2 linked regions of the Tamandua tetradactyla genome follow. The protein of the gene in region 2 purifies or fractionates together with the protein of the main gene of each other region. This does not show direct contact. Links are inferred from orthologs where the notes say so. Each region holds a gene or a part of one and is shown on either strand. Other genes may lie near its edges.

Region 1 (9,603 bases), on a different chromosome or scaffold from region 2:
TATTAACCATTTCAATCCTTACAAAAGCAGTATGAGATCAATACACTGTTGTTTCCACTCAAGAGATGAAAAAGCCAAAGGCTAGAGAGGTTCCCTAACTTTCCCAAGAACAGAAGGTTACAAACTACTAAGTAAGGAACCAGGCTTCAAAATCAAGGTATTCTATCGGTAATGCCAAAAAGTTTATTGTCAAAACTGTTTCTCTAAGACTAGATAATGGTTAATTGAAACCATATATTCATACAGCGGAGGAATTAAAAACTTATTCATGCCTTTTTTTTCCTTCTCTTCCCTTTCCTGTCCTCCCTGGTAGAGTGATCAAAGGCAATTTACGGGAGAGACAGAAAAGCAGAAAGCGTAAGTGCTTCAATAACATCGGAAATAAAGTTAAAAAGGGAGCCCTACATTCTTATTCAGATATCAATAATTTTCTTCTTAACTTGAAAATACTTTAAACCTCAAGTAAAATAGCATCTATTGGCAAGATAATAGAGTGTAGTGTTTCTGGACCTTTTGGAGTCTGACAGCTCAAGTACTATTCTGACTTTGCCATACTGTGAGACCTTGGATAAGACATTTTCATTCATTCGTTCATTCAATCCTTGAAAAGTCTGCCTCCACATCGCCAAACGAAGCCTGTACCTCTACATAGGTTTATTCTGAGGAGTAAATGAAATAATTCACCTGAAATGCCTGACAATACTTGGCACTTTGTAGTGCTCAATAAATGTTGGCTATTATTATTACCTTTAAGCCTAGCAAGGAGGAAAATGAACACTGTGACTTCAACTGAAGGAAGTATTGTGTTCCTAAGAGTTTTGTCTAATTTTTTGACAATTATGGTGTTATCAACTCAGATACTATTTAGCAAATCATTACTGACTCTTGATCATTCCTGCCAAATGTATGCTCCTCTCTACGCTCTTTCCCAGGGAAAAATAATGTCATCCAAGGTATTTGGAAATGTTCGCTTTGGGAATAGCTTTCGACTCCAGAGATGGTGGAACCTGAGATCTATAAATTAGCCACTAGAGTTCCCTGTTTCTCTCACTTCATTTGGGGCCTAGGCCTTATTTGGGGGTGAGTTGGGGAGGGAAGGGGCCCCACAACTAAACACTTAGATTCAAAGCATCCCCCTCCGGTAAGAGAGCATCCGACAAATTTCCTCCCAGAGGATGAGCGCGAGTACATTTACGAAAACCGACCCGAGAGCCAGCAACTCTCGCCTGTCAGCTCGGAGCCTGCGACCCGCAGGCAGGCTGGTGCAGAGAGGGACTCCGTTTACCCACCCCGAGCCCGGCCCAGGGAGGCCGGGCTGGGGCTGGACCTGGGGCGGGGGGTGTGTCGGGACACTCCTCCCCAGTGCCCCGCGGCAGGACAGAGCAGGCCGGGGTCTCGCCGGCTCCCTGAGGGGCAATGGCGGGGGCAGCGGACGGGCTACTCGGTGGTCTAGGGATGGGCAGGGAGGGGAGGGACGCTGAGGTCCTCACCGCGGGCCGAGGGCAGTGGGTAGAGCTTCTCGGCCTTCTGCAGGAAGCGCTGGGCCTTCTCGCGGTTGCCGGCGTTCAAGGCCTCCCTGGCGATCTCGACACATTTCTCCGCCTCATCCCGATTCCCCTCCATGGCTTGTGCCTCCTTCCGTTTCCTCTGGCAGCGCAGCTACCAGGGGCGGAAGCCGCCGGGGCGGGGGCGTGCGGAGAACTGGGAGGAGCGCAGAGGACCGAGGCTGCGGCCCGGGCTGAGGGCGGGCTTCGCAGCTCCGCCTCCTCACGGTGGTCTTCCCGCCCCCTGCGGGCAGCTACGGCCAAGACCGCATCCCTCCTGGCCCGGGACTCGGCGACCGGTGCGCGGCACCTACAGGTTCCCAACCCCAGGAAGCGGGAGGGCGGGCGATACTAGCTAAGCTACCCGGATGGAGGGCGCGTTCCGCGGATCCCGGACCCCTGACCTCCGGCCGCGACTTCCGCAGACCCAAACCAGGCTTTCGGGAGGTCAGGGTGATGTGATGGGACTGAGGGGATTCTCATTTTCAGTATAACTCCCTGGGCACGACGAAGGCTCTCCCTCTGGGCCACCTTAGCGGTGGAGCATCCAGTCAGGTGCAGACGCAGCCAGTCCCCGCGAAACACTAACCGCACTGTTCATAAATGTTAGTGCGTCGTGTGACTCCCAACCCGGGGCTCGCTTTACAGCCTGTTTATTTTACCTACACCTTTCAGACCCAGACACTATTAGATTGTCGGACCAATTAGACAAGAAACATTGTTTTCTTTGTACTTTTCTCATGAAAAGCACTGTCCTGTTCTCGTGACCAAAACAAAGCAGGAACCAGCCCTTTCACAAACGCCTCACCATCACAAGAGACTTCTTGGTTTTCTCCCCTTTTTCATTTTTATTACTATCATAAAATGTCATACTGATGACATCAAATGTCATATCGATCTCTTGGGGGATTGCCATTGTTTTATAATGTCTATATCCAAATTTTACATTTTCTGAGTAACTTGCCAGAAGCCACGTGTCAAAATGACCCACTTAATCCAGTCACTAACGATCCATTTTCTATGTTGATTTAACTTAGCCATGCTGAATGAACCATAGCCCACTTTCAAAGAAATTCTAGTTTTCTTGTATAAAAAGGGGTAACGTATCTCCTCAAATGTTATTATAGACCTTATTAAAAAGTGTCTAGCACTCAAAAAGGACACTGTTATTATCTTTGAAGTCTAAACGTCAAGTTAATTCTGTGGAAACTGCTGTATTCAAGATTTCCCTACTTCCCTCCCCAGCCCACCAAAGTAAATAGTGCACTGGTGTAATAGTGTCACATAGACCACTCGATGTACAGATGGCCAAACCTTAATCTAAAAATCACAGTATCATATCCTACTGCAGGAACTCCTGCCAGTTTAAAAACCTTACAAAGCTGATTACATAACCTTAAAACAATTTTAGTTGAACCATCTGCTTTGAACTACAGAATTAATGTAATTTGAAGGGAAGAAAATGTGCTTAGTTATGTCGTTGGATGAGTTGCCTATTCAAAATATAAGTTCCCATTACAATCAAGCAAATTTAAAACACAATTAGGTTGGGATATGACCTTTATTGAGCTTATCCACCAGAGTGGAAATAATGTCTGTACAAAACCAAATGTTTGTTACTATAACTTCTGCATCACAATTAAAATCCAAACAGTTTTTTAAAAACAGTCAACTCAATCAAAACCCACTACTTCAGAATCAATAGCTTCTTTGAAGCCACAGTAACACTTAAATATGGTTAAGACTCAAATGCAGAAATTTGGTTGGTTGGAAAGCGAATTAAACTTCCAACTTGCTCAAATAGAATTACAAAAAGGCAAAATTGTGTTTTTCACAGAGATACAGTCCACTGGAATCACCAACACTGGACAGCTGTTAGAGTATTTAGAGTCCTGAGATAATAAGGAATCCAGGCATCCTTTAGACAGTCTTCTGTTGTCCTTTCTTCCCAATCAGAGATTTGTGGATATGTGGAATGACACCTAGGAGAGTGACAGGGATTAATTTTACTTTAATCTACATATTTTAAAAAGTCACACAGTACTTAAAATGAAGGCACTGTACAGTTCAACTTAAAATGTCTTTAAAACGTGACACTCAAATAAAAATGCATTTTAAGTTACATATCATAAATCAAATTTCACGATATACGACCACACTGCATCAATAAAAATGTGTCCTCTTAAACTAGAAGAGAATTTTTTTTCTCTAAAGCATTTTAAAGTTTTAGTTACATACCACCCCCAGCAATTGTAGCCTTGATCAGAGAGTCCAATTCTTCATCTCCACGAATAGCAAGTTGCAAATGACGAGGGGTAATACGCTTTACCTTTAAATCTTTCGATGCGTTTCCTGCCAGTTCAAGTACCTAGAAGGCAGAATCTAATCAATCTCCTTCGGCCAAGACCCAGAAAGCAAAATTAAACCTTCGTGAATGTAGATCTACCCATTGTCATCGTTCCCCGACTACCTGAATGGCAAGATAAAACAAAAACTACAGAGGGGGCAACCAATTATTTCCAAGAGCTGCAAACTCAAGCCCAACAGGATCCCTTATTGAACACCAGCTCCCTCTAGCGTTCTGAGAGGCTTCTCGCTGGGTTTACGGCCTGGGAGTTTTCTTGCATCACTTTCCTCCTTTCCTTTCCTCCCCCCCTAACCAAAACCTTTCCCAGATTACAGGTATACACCCATTTACCTCTGCGGTGAGGTACTCCAGGATGGCTGCGCTGTATACAGCGGCAGTCGCGCCCACACGCCCATGGCTGGTCGTCCTAGATTTCAGATGTCGATGAATACGGCCCACCGGAAACTTAATCGTAAGCACACACAAACATAAATGCACAAAGATGTAAGTGTCAAAGACGGAAAAATTATACAAGCACCAAAGCAATGATTACGGGCTACGCTGGTGCAGCAACACGCCCCAGGATCGACACGCGTGATCGGCTCCCCCCCCCCCATATTTATCATATCGGCAACCCAAGTCGCGACACCACATCTCTCCTGAACAGACAAAACACCACAGAGCGGTGACAAACGAGAAACGAGGTGCAAGGAAAAAGGTCACGATTCTAACACTGCACGAACATCCACTGACCTGCAAGCCGGCTCTCTGCGAGCGGGAAACCGCCTTTGTCTTGGCCTTTCCGGAGTCCTTCCCAGCCTTACCGCCAGCCTGCGGCGCGCACACGCCCGAAAGCGGAGGAGGAACGCAGAATATAGGATTACCAGGGCGACGCGCCCCTCCCCCACGGCAACGCAACCCGGGCGCGAGCGCGGCCCCGCTGGGGTCTCCGGCCCGCCGCGCCGCGGGGGCGACCCCGCCCGCCGGCCCCCCGCCGCGCGCTCTTCGCGGCCGCGCGCCTCCGCCCGCCCGCCCCCAGTGGCCCTGCGCGCGCGACCTAACCGTCGCCGCCCGCCACGAGATCCGAGGCTGCTCCGCTTGCTGCCGACAAAACACCTCCCCCAGATCTTCTAAATCCTGTCTCCGCGCGTTCCCAACAGCCGCCACTTCACCCCATCCCCGTGTATAACGGATCTTACTCCCACTGGCAAAAACCCGCGGAGTCGTCAAGCTCTTCTGCTAAGTTTACCATTTCGAATTCTGCTGTAGCTCAAACAAACAAGGCAGAGAAAGGGCTAGTCAAACCCCCAGCGAAGCCCAGCCGCCTACTCCTTCGTCGCACCGCGATTCAAACTGCGCTGTCTCCCGCCTTCCCCGCTCCCTTTATACTGCAGAATGTTCCCTCATCCGGGAACTCGGATTGCTCATCGCACCAATGGCTGCCACCCGCCCTCGGGACGCGTCCTTGAGGTCTCAGCCAATGATAAGGCCAAGAAAAGGACGGAGGGGCGGGTGCTTCGCAACTCGAGCCGCGATTGGGGCGTGTGAAGCGAGAGGTGGGGGAGGGCGGAGGGACGGCAACTGGGGAGAAGAAGGACACAGCGGCGGGAGGGAAGAAACAGAGCGAGCTACGCTGCAGGAGCTCAGGGACCAGCGGGTCGCGGTCACGTGTCGGGAGGAGGGGCTGAGGGATTCAGGGGAGAGGCAGGCAGTACCACCCCCTTCGTAAACCCCCAGCAGAGCTCTGGAGACCACGTGAAAGCTCCTCCAGGCCTTGTGTACTCTATTGCTCCGGACGGTGCACGCCAGCATAGCGCAGCTTTCTTTCGGGAACCCGGGCGCCCTCTTCTTCGCCCCCTTCGCATCCCAGGCTGCTACTCCTGTCAGACAGGTAGCGTAAACGCATCCTGTAGAAGAAGTCCCGTGGTCTGTCCCGCTCCGCGAGGCATAAACTTCCAGTTATTTCTCCTAGGCGAGACCCGCAGCTCCCTCTGCGTTTTCAGCTGTATTCCACCCGCTCTTTCCTCACCACTTTTGAATCCACCCCCGCTTAGTTCCGTGGGTACAAACAGTTGAACAACCGCACTTCACTGGACTCAAAACCTTTTTTGTCCACCTCACAGGAGGCTTGGGGGTGAGGCGGTATTCTTTAATCAAATCAGAAACTTTAACATTTTTCTGGAGACTACGCATGAATGAATTGTACCCATAACTTGTTATTTAAAGTTGATTTAGTGAAACCTTAAAACTGTTAAGTGTCAACTTTTTTTACACAACATTTTGCTACAAATATTCAGTAAATGCCAGTAGGGGAACTCTTCATGATTCACAGTCAGTTACAGATGGTCCATGTAATCAGTTGCAAATGGTGGGCTTAAAAAATAGTGCGGTACACAAAGTACTATCATAATGCCAGCTACTTAATCTTCCAGCTAATAAATTGGTAACACCTGTGTACATCTCCAGCAGCTTGTGAACAAGTGATAGCAACTCACATTTACAATGTTTAATAGTTTATTATTTTTTTGACAAAATTGGATAGTCAGATTCAACGTATATACTCTAAAGTACTTTGGATTGACTTTCAATTTGAAAGAGTTTATAAGATTAGAGAAACTCCCTATTTCTGGGAGATAAACCCTAGAAAATGGTTTCCCAACGATTTTGAGAAGGTCCTTTTTTATTATTTCTCCCCCTGGGGACCCAGGGGTTCTTATGATGTTATTAATAGCAAGAGTCAGTCAGTTCCCCCACTTAATTGATGTAATAACAGTCAAAAGCTAAGAAACCTGAAGTAGTTAGTTTGAGCTCAATTGAAGCGTCAGGAAATCCGAGGCAACATTAATACCTTATCCAGTTTAGAGATTACTCTATGTGATCTTTGCCGTCAGAGACCCAGCTAAAGAAATTTGCTCTTGCTTCACTAAATAGTGGTTATTTAGTTATTGAGTGATTGAGCTCAAGAGCTGGAAGACTTAAAGTTTGCTCTACCTCCTCCTCACAGTATGATCTTAGTTACTAACTGTTGAAGCCTCTGCCAAGTGGCTATGGTAGCACCTAGTTTCATGTGATTATTGAAATATGGAAAAAGGTTTGCAAGGTACACAGTAGCATGTGTTTGGCACACAGTAACTGGCACTCAGTAAACGATAACTATTATCTTCTACATTGGCTGGATGAAATAATCTTTAAAGTATCTTTGATTCCTAAATATTTTTTCCTGTGTAATAAATGGTATTCCTTGGATGTAGAATCAGCAAAATTTGAAACCTATTCAAGATAAACTCAACCAGATCATCTAAAATCTGAAATTGGTTTAGTACACTCAACAGTTTTCCTCTTCCTGAAGTGAATGGAACAATAATGATTTCTTCCCTTTTCATAGCAGTTATGTGATGGTTTCCTACCCCTTTTCCTGTCCTGGAGAAAACCATGATGCAAAAATATTAATCCTCTTATCTCTCTAGTACTTGTGTTCATGCTAATACATATGTAATGTAGTCATAGTTACATAATTTTTAATGCCATATCCAATAAGTTACTTAATAAATGCTAATAGTGAAAAAAATTAATAATATGAATTATATGGTCTTAATATTATTGCCTTTTTCCTTAATAGCTTTTTTTCTACTTCAGCCAGACACTCTACAACTAATTACTATCTCCTCTCAAACACTAGCAACTAGCAACTACTGTTGGTTTTGACTTTTTATGTAGAGAATTCGAGAGATCATCCCATACTTGGAAATTTCTGATTTCTCAAACACATCTTTCTTTAAACACCTTTTTTTGGGCGATAAATATGAAGAGACTTTCCAGCTATTTCAAAGATGTTAGCCTAGATAGATAATGGCAGAATACTTCTGAGGAAATCCAAATTAGAATTTTGGTTCTTTGTACTTAGGGCATCGTGGAAAGAATGTACCTTCAAAGACTGACTAGTCGTCAATAACTGAGTTCCAGCATGGTATAATACAAAATATTTACCCAGAATAAAAGAACTTGGGTTGAGTCAGACTCAGCCACTCATTATTATTAAATAGGTATACATAGCAGCAGATAAGCCAACCTCATAAAATTGTGAAAGGGTTTCACAGAGTGTGAAGAATATATGGGGTGGTATATTAACTTTTGTGACACAAAGGCTGTAGTTCTCCCCAAATTCTACACATAAATATGATTATGTTAAGAGAAGCCCATGCTGTTTAGTTCAGTGTTGATGAAGCCAAGGTCATGAGTTTGAATTCCATATTGCCCAACTTTGTACTTTCCAGGATCACAGATTACATACATTCAATTCACGGGAAGCCTTTTAAGCCTTTTAAGGAAGACTCAGAGGAGACAGGTCCCATTCCTGCTTCGGCTGATGAGCCTCTCCTGTAGAGTTCATCCAGACCATCCATCAGAGTCATCAGTTTCACAGCCTGCCCTGTGAAACTCTGCGTTCCTGCGGTCACGTGAGACATTTTTATAAATTTTATATTTGCGAGTGTTCCCTGTTGATTCTGTTGCTCTAGAGAACCCTAACTAATACATCTTGGTACCAGGAGTGGTTCTTAAGAAACAGAATCTTAAAAATGGGTTTTTATGAATGGTTTTCTACTCTGACTGGACCCAGAGACACTAAGGACTCTGATTCTCGTAATCAGAATGACACTCCCAATCCATGGACTGAGTTGGCAAAGGAGATAGTCAAAATATCATCATTCAATTCTCCTAATGCTTCGCTTATACGAAGCCAGACTCGGGGATAATGTTTTTGACACCTTTACAGAGTTTTGTAGAAGTAAGAGTTATAGAGATGTTGGTTGGTTGTTGTTAGATACACTGCCTACATTAAGGGATGAAAGGGATGGGCTTAAGGCTTCAAACAAGAAGCTTAAGTGCCGTCTGAAAGATGTAGACGTTTCTATGAGTATCCTGAAGGAAAATCTTATTTCCTGTACCTGTAGACTTGAGATCTCTGAAAATCAGATTCAGAGTCTTATTGTTAGAGTAGCAACTTTACAATGTAAACTGAAATCTCAGTCTTTGCATGGTGTCTGCCGTTAAAGTGAGGGCATTGATTGGAAAGGAGTGGGACCCTGAAAAATGGGATGGTGACATATGGATTGATAATGATGTCGGGGGTGAGGTTGAAGCCCTAGATCATGCTGAGTCTTCTCTAGATAACTCTGTAATAGTTTTCCCTGAGGACATCACTGCCCCACCTCCAGCCTGCCTTGAGGAATTGGCCACCCAACCTCCTCCTGAAGGGATTAGCCCTGGAGTGATTAATTCTGTTTCACCAGATGAAACTGCAAATGAAGGCCCTGAAGCAAATGGCTTGGAAGATATTTCTAATTCTTTTCCTGACCCACTCCCACCACCCCTCATTTCTTCCAGACCTATAACTAGACTAAAGTCCCAACAGGCCCCTAAAGGTGAGGTACAAAGTATCATACATGAGGAGGTACGTTATATTCCAAAAGAACTGTGTGAGTTTTCCAATTTATATAGACAGAAATCAGGGGAATATGTGTGGCAATGGATTCTAAGAGTGTGGGATAATGGTGGGAGGAATATAAGGCTGGATCAGGCTGAATTTATTGATATGGGCCCACTAAGCAGAGATTCTGCATTCAGTGTTATAGCTTGAGCAGTTAGAAAAGGTGTTAATAGTTTGTTTGGATGGTTGGTTGAAACATGGATCAAAAGGTGGCCAACATTACC
Region 2 (9,603 bases):
ATGATAGACCACAAAACTCTGGGATCTGTTCTGTAACTACTTATTGAAGTGTGCTTTGAAAATTATTGCTTTTTCTTTGCTTTGATTTGCTCACATGTTATACTTTACAATAAAAAAAGTTTTTTGAAAAAATGGCATTATTGAGACAAGAAAAAAATGGAAAACAGACTATAAGCTTTATATCAATGTTAAAACTCTTGAACTTGAAAACTGCAGTTAAGGTGATTCACAGGAAATATACATGGCAGTATTACGTGCTCAGGGTGTATTATATGTACAACCTACTCTCAAATGTTCAAAAAAACAGATAGCTAGATAAACAGATACATACATACATACATACATACATGAAGGAAGGGAGGGAGGGAGAGAGAGGGGCAGGGAGGGAAAGAAGAAGAAAGAAATAGCAAAGGTAGTATAAATGCTAAAATTGGTGGATCTGGACATCTGGTGGTAGGGTGGGGGGGTATGCTAGAGTTCTCTGGATGGGTTTTATATTATTTTTGCTACTGTCCTATGAGAGTCTGAAGTTATTTCAAAGTAAAAAGTTAAGAAAAAGATGTCACTCCCAAGACGTTATGAAGCTCTAGACCAACAGAAATATATTTCAAAGCAAATGCAACTTGAGATAAAGGGCAAGTTTTAGAGACAATGAACCCCCTATGAGGCCTTCACTCTCACTTTCCTTGAGGCTGGCCAAGATAATTTGAATTTTAGAAGCATGGATTTTAGGTACTCAATTGTATTACTGCACATTAGATCAAAAAACATACACATAACCTATTTGGCTAAATAAAGACTAGTTAAGACATGAGTTTAATTTGGCTTAGACATTCTGATTACTTTCTTGGTTAGATTAAAAAAATGAGAGAAAATGAGTACCTTGCCAGTTCCAGGAGGTCCTGCCAACAAGACAGCTCTTCCAGCCATTTTCTTGCTTTTGATTAATTCAACTATCACGCCACATGCCTACACACCAGAAATAATAAATCAATATTAAAACATTTCACAGGGGAAAAATATCCAGTCTCTGGTCCATACAATTCACATATATTCACTCAACTGAGTGCCAGTAAGCTGTAGGAATCATTCTAGGTGTGGGAGGCAGGAGTGAACAAGACAGAAATGCTTTGTAGTTTTGGAGCTCACGTTCTAGTGGAGAAGAAAAACAGATGCCTAAACACTGAATAAGAATGGGAAGATGAGGTTGAAGAGCTGGGCAAGAGCCAAAACTTGTAATAGGTTCTTATAATTTGGAGTAAAGTTTGAATTTTATTCTATGTGCAATAAGAAACTAATGAAAAGGCCTTAGGCTATGTGTCATTATGATTTATGTTCTTAAAAGATCATGCTGTTTAGGGGTGAAAGTCTCCCTGGCAACATGGGATACGAATCCCAGGGATGAGTCTGGCACTGGCACTATGGGATCAACAATGCCTACCTGACCAAACAGGGGAAAAGAACTGTAACAAATGGTATCAGTGGCCGAGAGTTCAAATAGAGCCAAGAGGCTCTTCTAGAGGCTACTCTTATGCAAGCTTCAGCCAGGATACTCCTATTTACCATGATTTGCCAAACCCCAACCAAAACCTTCCTGCAAACCTTAAGGGATACCCAGGGCTCTATCTGAGAGTCTACAAAAGTTCTATGAACTAGGATTATTTTCCAGAAACCTACAACCTCCAGATGGGTTCCTAGGCCAGATAAATCCTGAAACCCAGAGGGGTCAGCCTCTCCAGAATATCAACTACTTCCATTCCCCATCCCATATTGTTGTCAGCATTTTCCAACATAAAAAATTAAAATGGGCATAGTCCAAAAACCCCTAAAAATTGGGAGAATGATCAAAGGAGAAGGAGGAGTTATAATAGAGAAGACAGGATTTAAGAAATGAGTATGAGTGCTGAATGACTGTATCAATATTTCTTTTAGTCTCCAGTGTCTTGGAACAGCTAGAAGGAAAAATCTAAACTTGTGGAATTGTAACCCATACCAAACTCTGAAATTTGTTCTATAACTAATAGTTGTGGTATGCTTTGAAACACATTGTTTTTTTGAATATACGTTATATTTCACGATAAAAAAAAAATAGGTACCTGAAAAAAAAAAGACTAAGTACAAAAAGATCATGTTGGCTGCAATGTGGAGAATGGGCAGTAGGGGAACAAGTGGAAGTAGAGACTTTTAGGCTGGGACCCACAGATAGATTCCCACTCGCCTCTTGAAACTCGAGACAAAAATCTGTGTTTATGTTCATACATGCATTTCTCAAGGAAGAGAAGTCACAGCTTTTATTGGATTCTCAAAGTAATCTACTAAGAGTTAAGAATCAATGGCACACATGGTTTGTTCCTGGGTTTTGGCACCAAAAAAAAAAAAAGGAATTAATGACAAATACTACTAGCTGGCCATCAGTGGACTATCCCAGAAACTGCAAATCAATTGGCAATGCTGCACTTGAGGTCAAAACAATGGAACCATAAGATTCTTTCAAGTGCCTTTTGAATTCTCAAGATTAATCTTAGTGTTTAGTGTTAGTATATTTTAAATAATTTTAATCCTCTGGATATTAAGCCCTTTACTATATATTCATATTCCATAAATGGGTTACTGAGCTCTATATATTTTAGAACAGTTGACTATAAAGAAGGAAAGCTGGGAAAGTGGCATTTATTGAATGTCTATATGTCAAGGACTACATGATACAAGTTTCTACCAGCGAAAGAATAAAGTAATATATTATTAACTAAAAGGTGCATTCTCTTCTCCCTAGGTAGAGACCACTGCCCCCTACTGACAGGTCTTGTGAACACATCTTTATCTCCTCTATCACTAGGTAGCTCTCTGGGATAGGGTCCACATCTCTTTTCTTTAATCCCCGTGGCCTGTGGAGAAGTACTTTGTCCCACAGCCACCCCACAAAAATGTATGTAGGTATGCTGTATTCTACTTCTGGCTCAGCAAAGTGCAGTGGCCTTAACAGAGCCCAGAAGTTGTTCTTCAGATAATGCATTTCCTATAAGATCAAAACAAGCCATTATGATCTTTCTACACAACCTTGTGATATCATAATCCTAAAGCACTGAAAATCTTTGGGAACCTCAAAAAAAGGCAAGAAAGACTTTTGAAACCTTGGAGATATAAGACCAAGACCTTTTCCATTTAATCAGCATTCTCCCAGTTTAAGGTCCAACTTCTCTCCAGTTAGGTATGTTCAATGAATCAAAAATTTAATAAGAACAGGAAAGGCCTTTAAGAGATCGCCTAATTTAACGCTCTCGTTTTTCAGATGAAGCTCTTATGCACTCGGGAGGCTGCTGACATGACCATAGTCATACAAGGACCTGATAGCTGAGGTGGGTTTTCAGTACCTATTAATTCAATAAACAAATACTGAGTACCTGTAATGAACAAGGTTCTGCATATGTAATAAATATTACATGGTCTGTGTCCTAATGAAGCTCACAGTCATATCTAAAAATAGAACACCACAAATAAAAGCATGGATTCTGTGGTCAGACAGAGTTGGGTTTAAATCCTGGCGCTATCACTTACCACCTGAGTGGCCTTACACATGGTAACTTTTGTGAACCTCAATTTCCTCATCTGCAAAATCATAACTGTTAAAAGCATACACGTTAAAGAGTTGAGAGGTAAAGTGCATTGATGTCTGCAACTCACTTCAAAATGCAAAAGAGAATTGGTAGATGGACAGCAGGACAAATGTGATAAAGCAATATAGCAAAATGTTAATTGTAGCATTTAGGCACAAGGGTATTCATTACACAAGTATCAATCTGTATCTCTGAATGTCTGAATTTTCTCATGATAAAGCCCAGGGGGGTAGGGGCGATTAATATTTGGGTTTAGAAGACGAGCAAGATGATGGAAATGAAGCTTCTGAGCACAGTGCTTGGCACAAAGAAAGCACCCAACCAACGTTAGCTATTTGCAGTACCAGGTCCTCAATAAGCCAAAACTGAATAAAGAGAAATTAAAAGACATCTTGACCTCAAAGATGATGTCCTCAAAATGGAAACCACATCATGATGATGAATATGCAAATATGTGATGATATTGTGAATTACTGATTATATATATAGAACAGAATGATCATAAAAAAAAAAAAGGAAACCAGAGACTTTTCTTTACACCCATTCTATAGTACAATCAGGCTGGGGAGGCACCAGTCTTGGCCTTATATTTACGGTGGTTTCTTGGAGCTGCTACACCACGGCAGACGCCAGAAAGCATGCCTTTCCTTACAGCAACAGCAGGCTGAAATGGTGGCTGTGAGGCCAGAGAGAGGAGTGTATCGATTTGGGAGACACACACTTGGGTACAATTCTAGCTTTACCATATTAGGCTGAGTAGCAAGTAGATGGGTGAAGTAACCTCTCTAGCCCTCAGTTTTTTAATCTGCAAAAAAGAGCTTGAATAATTTGTGATTACTAAGTATGTGAAAGGACTAGGCATCACAGCCACCTCATAAAAGTGGATTTGACTGGAATGGTTAGCAAGGATGTTTGGAGCAGATAAACCAGAGATCTCTGCATAATTCCCACCTCTCTCCCTCCGACTCCAAAGCCCTGGGAACCAAAGTGATTCTTTAAATTAGGTCACTTTCTCACTTAAAACTCCCACTGCATTCCCAATAGGTAAAATCCAAATTCCTTATCATAGCAGACAAAGCCTTCCAGGAACTGACCCCTGCCTACCAAAATAATTTTGCTGTTTGCCTGTTGGTTTACATATTTATCATCTGTCTGCATCCCCACTAAGATGTGAGCAGGGACTCTTTGCATGAAATCAGGTACCATATCTACCTTGATCCCCGTTGTGTACCAGCATCGGAACAGAGCCTGGCACCGAGTAGGGGGCTCAATCAATAGGTGCTGTCAATGAGGTCAAACATTCAACCGCCCCGTGGGGAGGCGTTACCTGGTTTCCTGAGAAGACCCCTCACCTAGCCCCGGTGCGGTCCATCCCCTTCCCCGTACACACACACACACACACACACACACACACACGCCCCAAGGCCATTTTCACCTGCGGGAACTACGGCTCGAGACCCCCCCCTCCGCCCTCTTCAGCGCGTCCCTCGCAGCAGTGGCCCAACTCAGCGCCCCCCACTCCCTGGCCCCCGAGCCACACCTCTCGCGCGTTCTCCTGGCCCACAAGCCCCGAAGCCGCCTGCTTGGCCAGGCCACTCTCGTCCAGCCCCAGCCCCTTTACGTGGCTGTGGGAGGCGATGCGCTGCGTCTTCGTGGTACTTTTCACCTCCTCAATCTTCATTTTGTTGACGCGGGGAGTCGATAACCAGCACCAGTGACGAACACCACACGCCCGGCACCCGGGTTACCACGCGGCCGTTACTAGGGCGGTGCATAAGGGCCCGCCTTGGTCGGTGCTCCATTGGTGGAGACAGGAACGCCTCCGCTCTCCCATTGGATCAGGGCTGTGTCCATCGCGGCTGCCGGTGGGGCTCCGCCCTCCCACTTCCGGCTGTGTCTCTAGGGTATATTCCCCGGCACCGGCCCTTCCTGCCCCGGCTCCGGAGCGGGGGGCGCGGGGAGGCCTCGCGTTTAAGCGTCATGCTGTTCTTCGTGACGTCTTTTGGGGTCATTGTATATTATCGCATTTAGACATCACACTCTTCTACTAAATTCAGCTTATGACCTCGGCTTTAGCGTGGAAAAAGAGAGGCTCGAAGCTTAAAATTTTGACTTTTGATTAGTAAAAGTCTTCTGACTCCCAAGCCAGGTACTTTACTTTGCATCACCCTGGGGAGAAAACCGGCTCAGCCAAGCCCTCCCACCCTTCCTCTTCTCAAAATTGCCTCCTTGGAATTATACCCCTCTTCTTGCCTCCACTCTCTCCCCGTTTAAACAGTGAATAATATTTCAGTTTCCAAACTCTGCAACCCTGAAAGATAGTATCGTTTCCTAGCCAGCTGAAGAAGCAAGCTAAAAGAGGTACTATGGCCTGCCCAAAAACACATCAGATAATCGGCAAAAGCGAAACTCCAGCTGTGGACTTCAGACTTCAAGGCCTGGGCAATCCCCATCCAGGGTGGGTAATGAGCCAGTGAGCATCTCCTGTCAGGTTCATCATTTAACGCTACCACCACCACCACTTCCCCTCCCCAAAGCACTCCCATTCATTCAACAAACATTTGTTAGCCTCTGCTGTGAGCCAGACTCTTCAACTTACTGGGGATATGAGATCTCTACCCCTGAGGAATTTGCTCCCTGGTTGGGAAACAGGCAGTGTGAGATGTGCTGGAACAGATACAACCAGATGGTGGGCGAACCAGCGGCCCCTGAAACAGCCTGGGGCGCCAGGAAAAGCATCACGAAGGTAATGATGGCTAGGTTGAATCCTGACAAGTGGGTGAGACTTCTCAGAAGCACATAATATGTTGCCATTTTACAGATGAGAAAACTGAGGTGAAAATGGGAGGGATTCCAGAGCCTGTGTTAAGGTTGAAGTAAAATCCAGCTGCAGTAGTCCCTGTCACACCTCCTGATATTCTCCTTTCTAACTTTTGAATCTAAATTTGTAATTATTTGCATGATTATTGGGTCGTTGTTTGTCTCCCTAAAGACTAAATTGCAGGTATTATGAAAGCATAGGGTGCATTTGTGTTTTTTTGCTTTTTAACCTCAGTGCCCAGCATACAACATGGCTTATAATTAAAGGCTTCCTATGAACTCAAACCAGGTTCCAGAGTCCGCACACACACTTGAACTCAGGCAGTTTTGCTGCATGAATTTTACAGCCTGGGTTTTATGAGACTTGGTGATGGTTTCTGTCCATGAATGGGGCTTTCTGGCACTTTCAGAACCTGAAAGAGTAGAGATAAGTCCTTGAAAGGCTGAGCTTGTCACCAGTGGCCTGTGATTCATCAACCCTAGGGCCATGACTCCTTACACACCCTGCAAGGTTGTTTGGCATCTTAGTGACTTATTCTCAGTCATGATTCTTAGATGAGCAACTCCTTTCACCAGGTGGAAGAGGAAACCTTTTCCCCAACTAGTTGTCAAAGTGAGGTGCTCTGTGGGCTGACACCTTTATGTATTGTTCAGGTAGGGGAAGATGTTTTTACATTTATCCATTTAAGGGGCTCCAAACTGTGTCTCTTTGGCACTGAGCAAAGAGAAATATTTCCTTCCAGCCAAATATGGGAGAGAACTAAGGATCAATCTTAAAGTTTGAAGACTCCTTGGGACCACTTGGTCCAGTGGTTTTCACACCACACTCCTTGTAGTTGTAGTATTCTTTTGTGGCCAGTAGGAGTGGGGAAGGGGAAGGTTGAGAGTGCATGACAGCAGCTCCATGCCCCTCTCCCCCCACACCAGAACTGTTCCATTCATTTTACTGCTAAAGAATTATTCAAAAATTGCTGATATGGCCAAGCGACCTCATTTTACAGGTGGGGAAACTGAGACTCCAAAAAGGAATGGGGGTTGCCCAACGTCACAGAACAACCAAATCCTGGAGCCTAGACTCTCTCACTCACAGTGTTTTGAAAAGATCCTGGACCTGGTTCCTTTTCATTTCAACTGCAGCAGAACAGAATCCGAGATATACAATGTGCTGAACATGAAGAGCAGGTGAGGCCTACATCAGTGAACATGGGTGTTCTAGTTTGCTAGCTGCCAGAATGCGACACACCAGAGATGGATTGGCTTTCAATAAAAGGAGATTTATTTAGTTAATGTATAGTTCTTCAGAGGAAAGGCAGCTAACTTTCAACTGAGGTTCTTTCTCACATGGGAAGTCACAAAGCCATCTCTGCTGGCCTTCTCTCCAGGCCTCAGCATTCCAACAAGTTCCCTGGGATGATTCGTTTCTACAGCTCCAAAGGTGTGGGCTGAGCTGCGAGTGCCAAGATGAGGTATGCTTAGCTGCATGGGATGTGCTACATTGAGCTCACTCATTTAAGCACCAACCAACTAAATCAAACATCATTCATTGCAGCAGGCACGCCTCCTAGCCAACTGCAGATGGAATCAGCAACAGATGAGGCTCACATGCCATTGGCTCATAGCCACAGCAACAGAACTAGGTGCTTCACCTGGCCAAGTTGACACCTGAATCTGACTACCACAATGGTTATTTTACCAGCATCCATCCCCTCTTCTTGTGGTACCATGACTCTCATTTTCTTTAGGAATCCCGTCTTCCCCCACTGTAGACCCAGTAGTTTGGGGCTGATCCCACTCCACCCCCTACCTTTATTTCTAGGAGTGCCTAGACCTGGCTTATCAGAATATCCCACCCACCTCGCCCTGGTATTTCAATACTGGGAATTTCAGAAGAGAGAAGCTTTGGCTACTTCATGGGGAGCCCCTGCCTGAAAATGAAACCAATACAAAGGAAGGCAAAGCTGAGAGAAGGAAACTCCTGATGAAATCATTTACATTCTTGGATCCAAACTGCCTTACTTGCCACGTAACTTTGCACTTTGGGGCTTAAGATTGTTTGAGTTGGGTGGGCCACAGTGGCTCAGCGGCAGAGTTCTCGCCTGCCATGCCGGAGACCTGATTCAATTCCCGTGCCTGCCTATGCAAAAAGAAAAAAAAGTGTTTGAGTTAACTTTCTATTCGAAGCAATTAAAAATCCATATCAGTGCACTGACATAAATACAATTAACTGTGTGGACCATTACATTCCAGAATTGTTCTTTGTGACAACCAATCCTGCCTGCCAGCTCTCATTCTCTCACTCCCAAGACCCTGGTACATTGATCTCCAGTTCCTCAGCCCCTCTTTTCTCTAGCCTAAGATCAATCAAATTAGCCTCTCACCTCTCAACCTTTCTGCTACCTCCTTTCCTTGACTTCTGCCATGCCTGCCCTTTGAACTCACAAGCCCAGGTCAAGCCTACCTCTCTGTCTTCTTCATTAACTCACAGGAGCTGCTGGTTATGGTAGGAAAAAATCACCCAGAGGCCCCCTGGAGCCATTCCACAGTCTCCAAGCTCAGCTGAGCCCTTGGAGCTGCCTCCTCCAAGGAGTAATTATTAAATGTGCATTGCTTAGGGTATTAGTTCATCTGCAGTAACAGAGAAATCCAGAATAATGGAATGTCAGCAAGATAGATAGTACGTTTTCATACATCAAGTCCAGGAAAGCATTCTGACTAGTTCCCGAGCTCCATGATCATTATGGACCTGTGGTCTTTCTACCCTGTTGCTCTGCCATTCCCCATACAGATTTCCATCCCATGGTCCAAGATGCCTGCTCCACCTATCCGCCAAAGGACTGCATTTGAGTCATCAAAGAGGAAAGGGGAAAGTGGAAGACATGCTCCTTCCCTTGAACCTTGACTTTGATGTTGCACCATCATTTCAACTCACATTCTATTGGCCAGCATTTAATCAAATGGCTACAACTAGCTGCAAGGAAGTCTGGGAAATGTAGTGTTTAGCTGAATGGATATGTGCCCAGCTAAAAATTCTATTCCTACATAAAAAGGGAAGATGGTAGATGGGGATTCAACTCTTGGTTTCCATGCTAAGCTTCTTTATTCCTGCTACAGCTGCGTTCTCCTTGTATCTGTCTCCTCTGTCCCTTCTTCTAGGGCAAGTTAATCTCAC

Evidence for each region.
Region 1: the proteins of RUVBL1 (region 2) and H2AZ1 purify together in Homo sapiens (affinity purification with mass spectrometry; 6 studies listed by BioGRID and IntAct, with this or other methods). This does not show direct contact. The link is inferred for Tamandua tetradactyla from reciprocal best matches to the Homo sapiens genes RUVBL1 and H2AZ1.

The regions. Positions count from the first base shown.
Region 1 is NC_135350.1:24,382,252-24,391,854, reverse strand, and holds H2AZ1 (histone H2A.Z), read right to left. Parts: upstream 5,326-9,603; 5' UTR 5,144-5,325; coding exon 5,141-5,143; exon of another isoform or gene 4,937-5,140; intron 4,723-4,936; coding exon 4,645-4,722; intron 4,357-4,644; coding exon 4,243-4,356; intron 3,913-4,242; coding exon 3,783-3,912; intron 3,527-3,782; coding exon 3,465-3,526; 3' UTR 3,087-3,464; downstream 1-3,086. Other genes in the region: DNAJB14 (dnaJ homolog subfamily B member 14), read right to left, coding at 1,491-1,623. UniProt on the Homo sapiens protein: Variant histone H2A which replaces conventional H2A in a subset of nucleosomes. Nucleosomes wrap and compact DNA into chromatin, limiting DNA accessibility to the cellular machineries which require DNA as a template.
Region 2 is NC_135335.1:30,900,253-30,909,855, forward strand, and holds the start of RUVBL1 (ruvB-like 1), read right to left. Parts: upstream 5,400-9,603; 5' UTR 5,296-5,399; coding exon 5,155-5,295; intron 5,076-5,154; exon of another isoform or gene 5,050-5,075; intron 970-5,049; coding exon 883-969; intron 1-882. UniProt on the Homo sapiens protein: Possesses single-stranded DNA-stimulated ATPase and ATP-dependent DNA helicase (3' to 5') activity; hexamerization is thought to be critical for ATP hydrolysis and adjacent subunits in the ring-like structure contribute to the ATPase activity.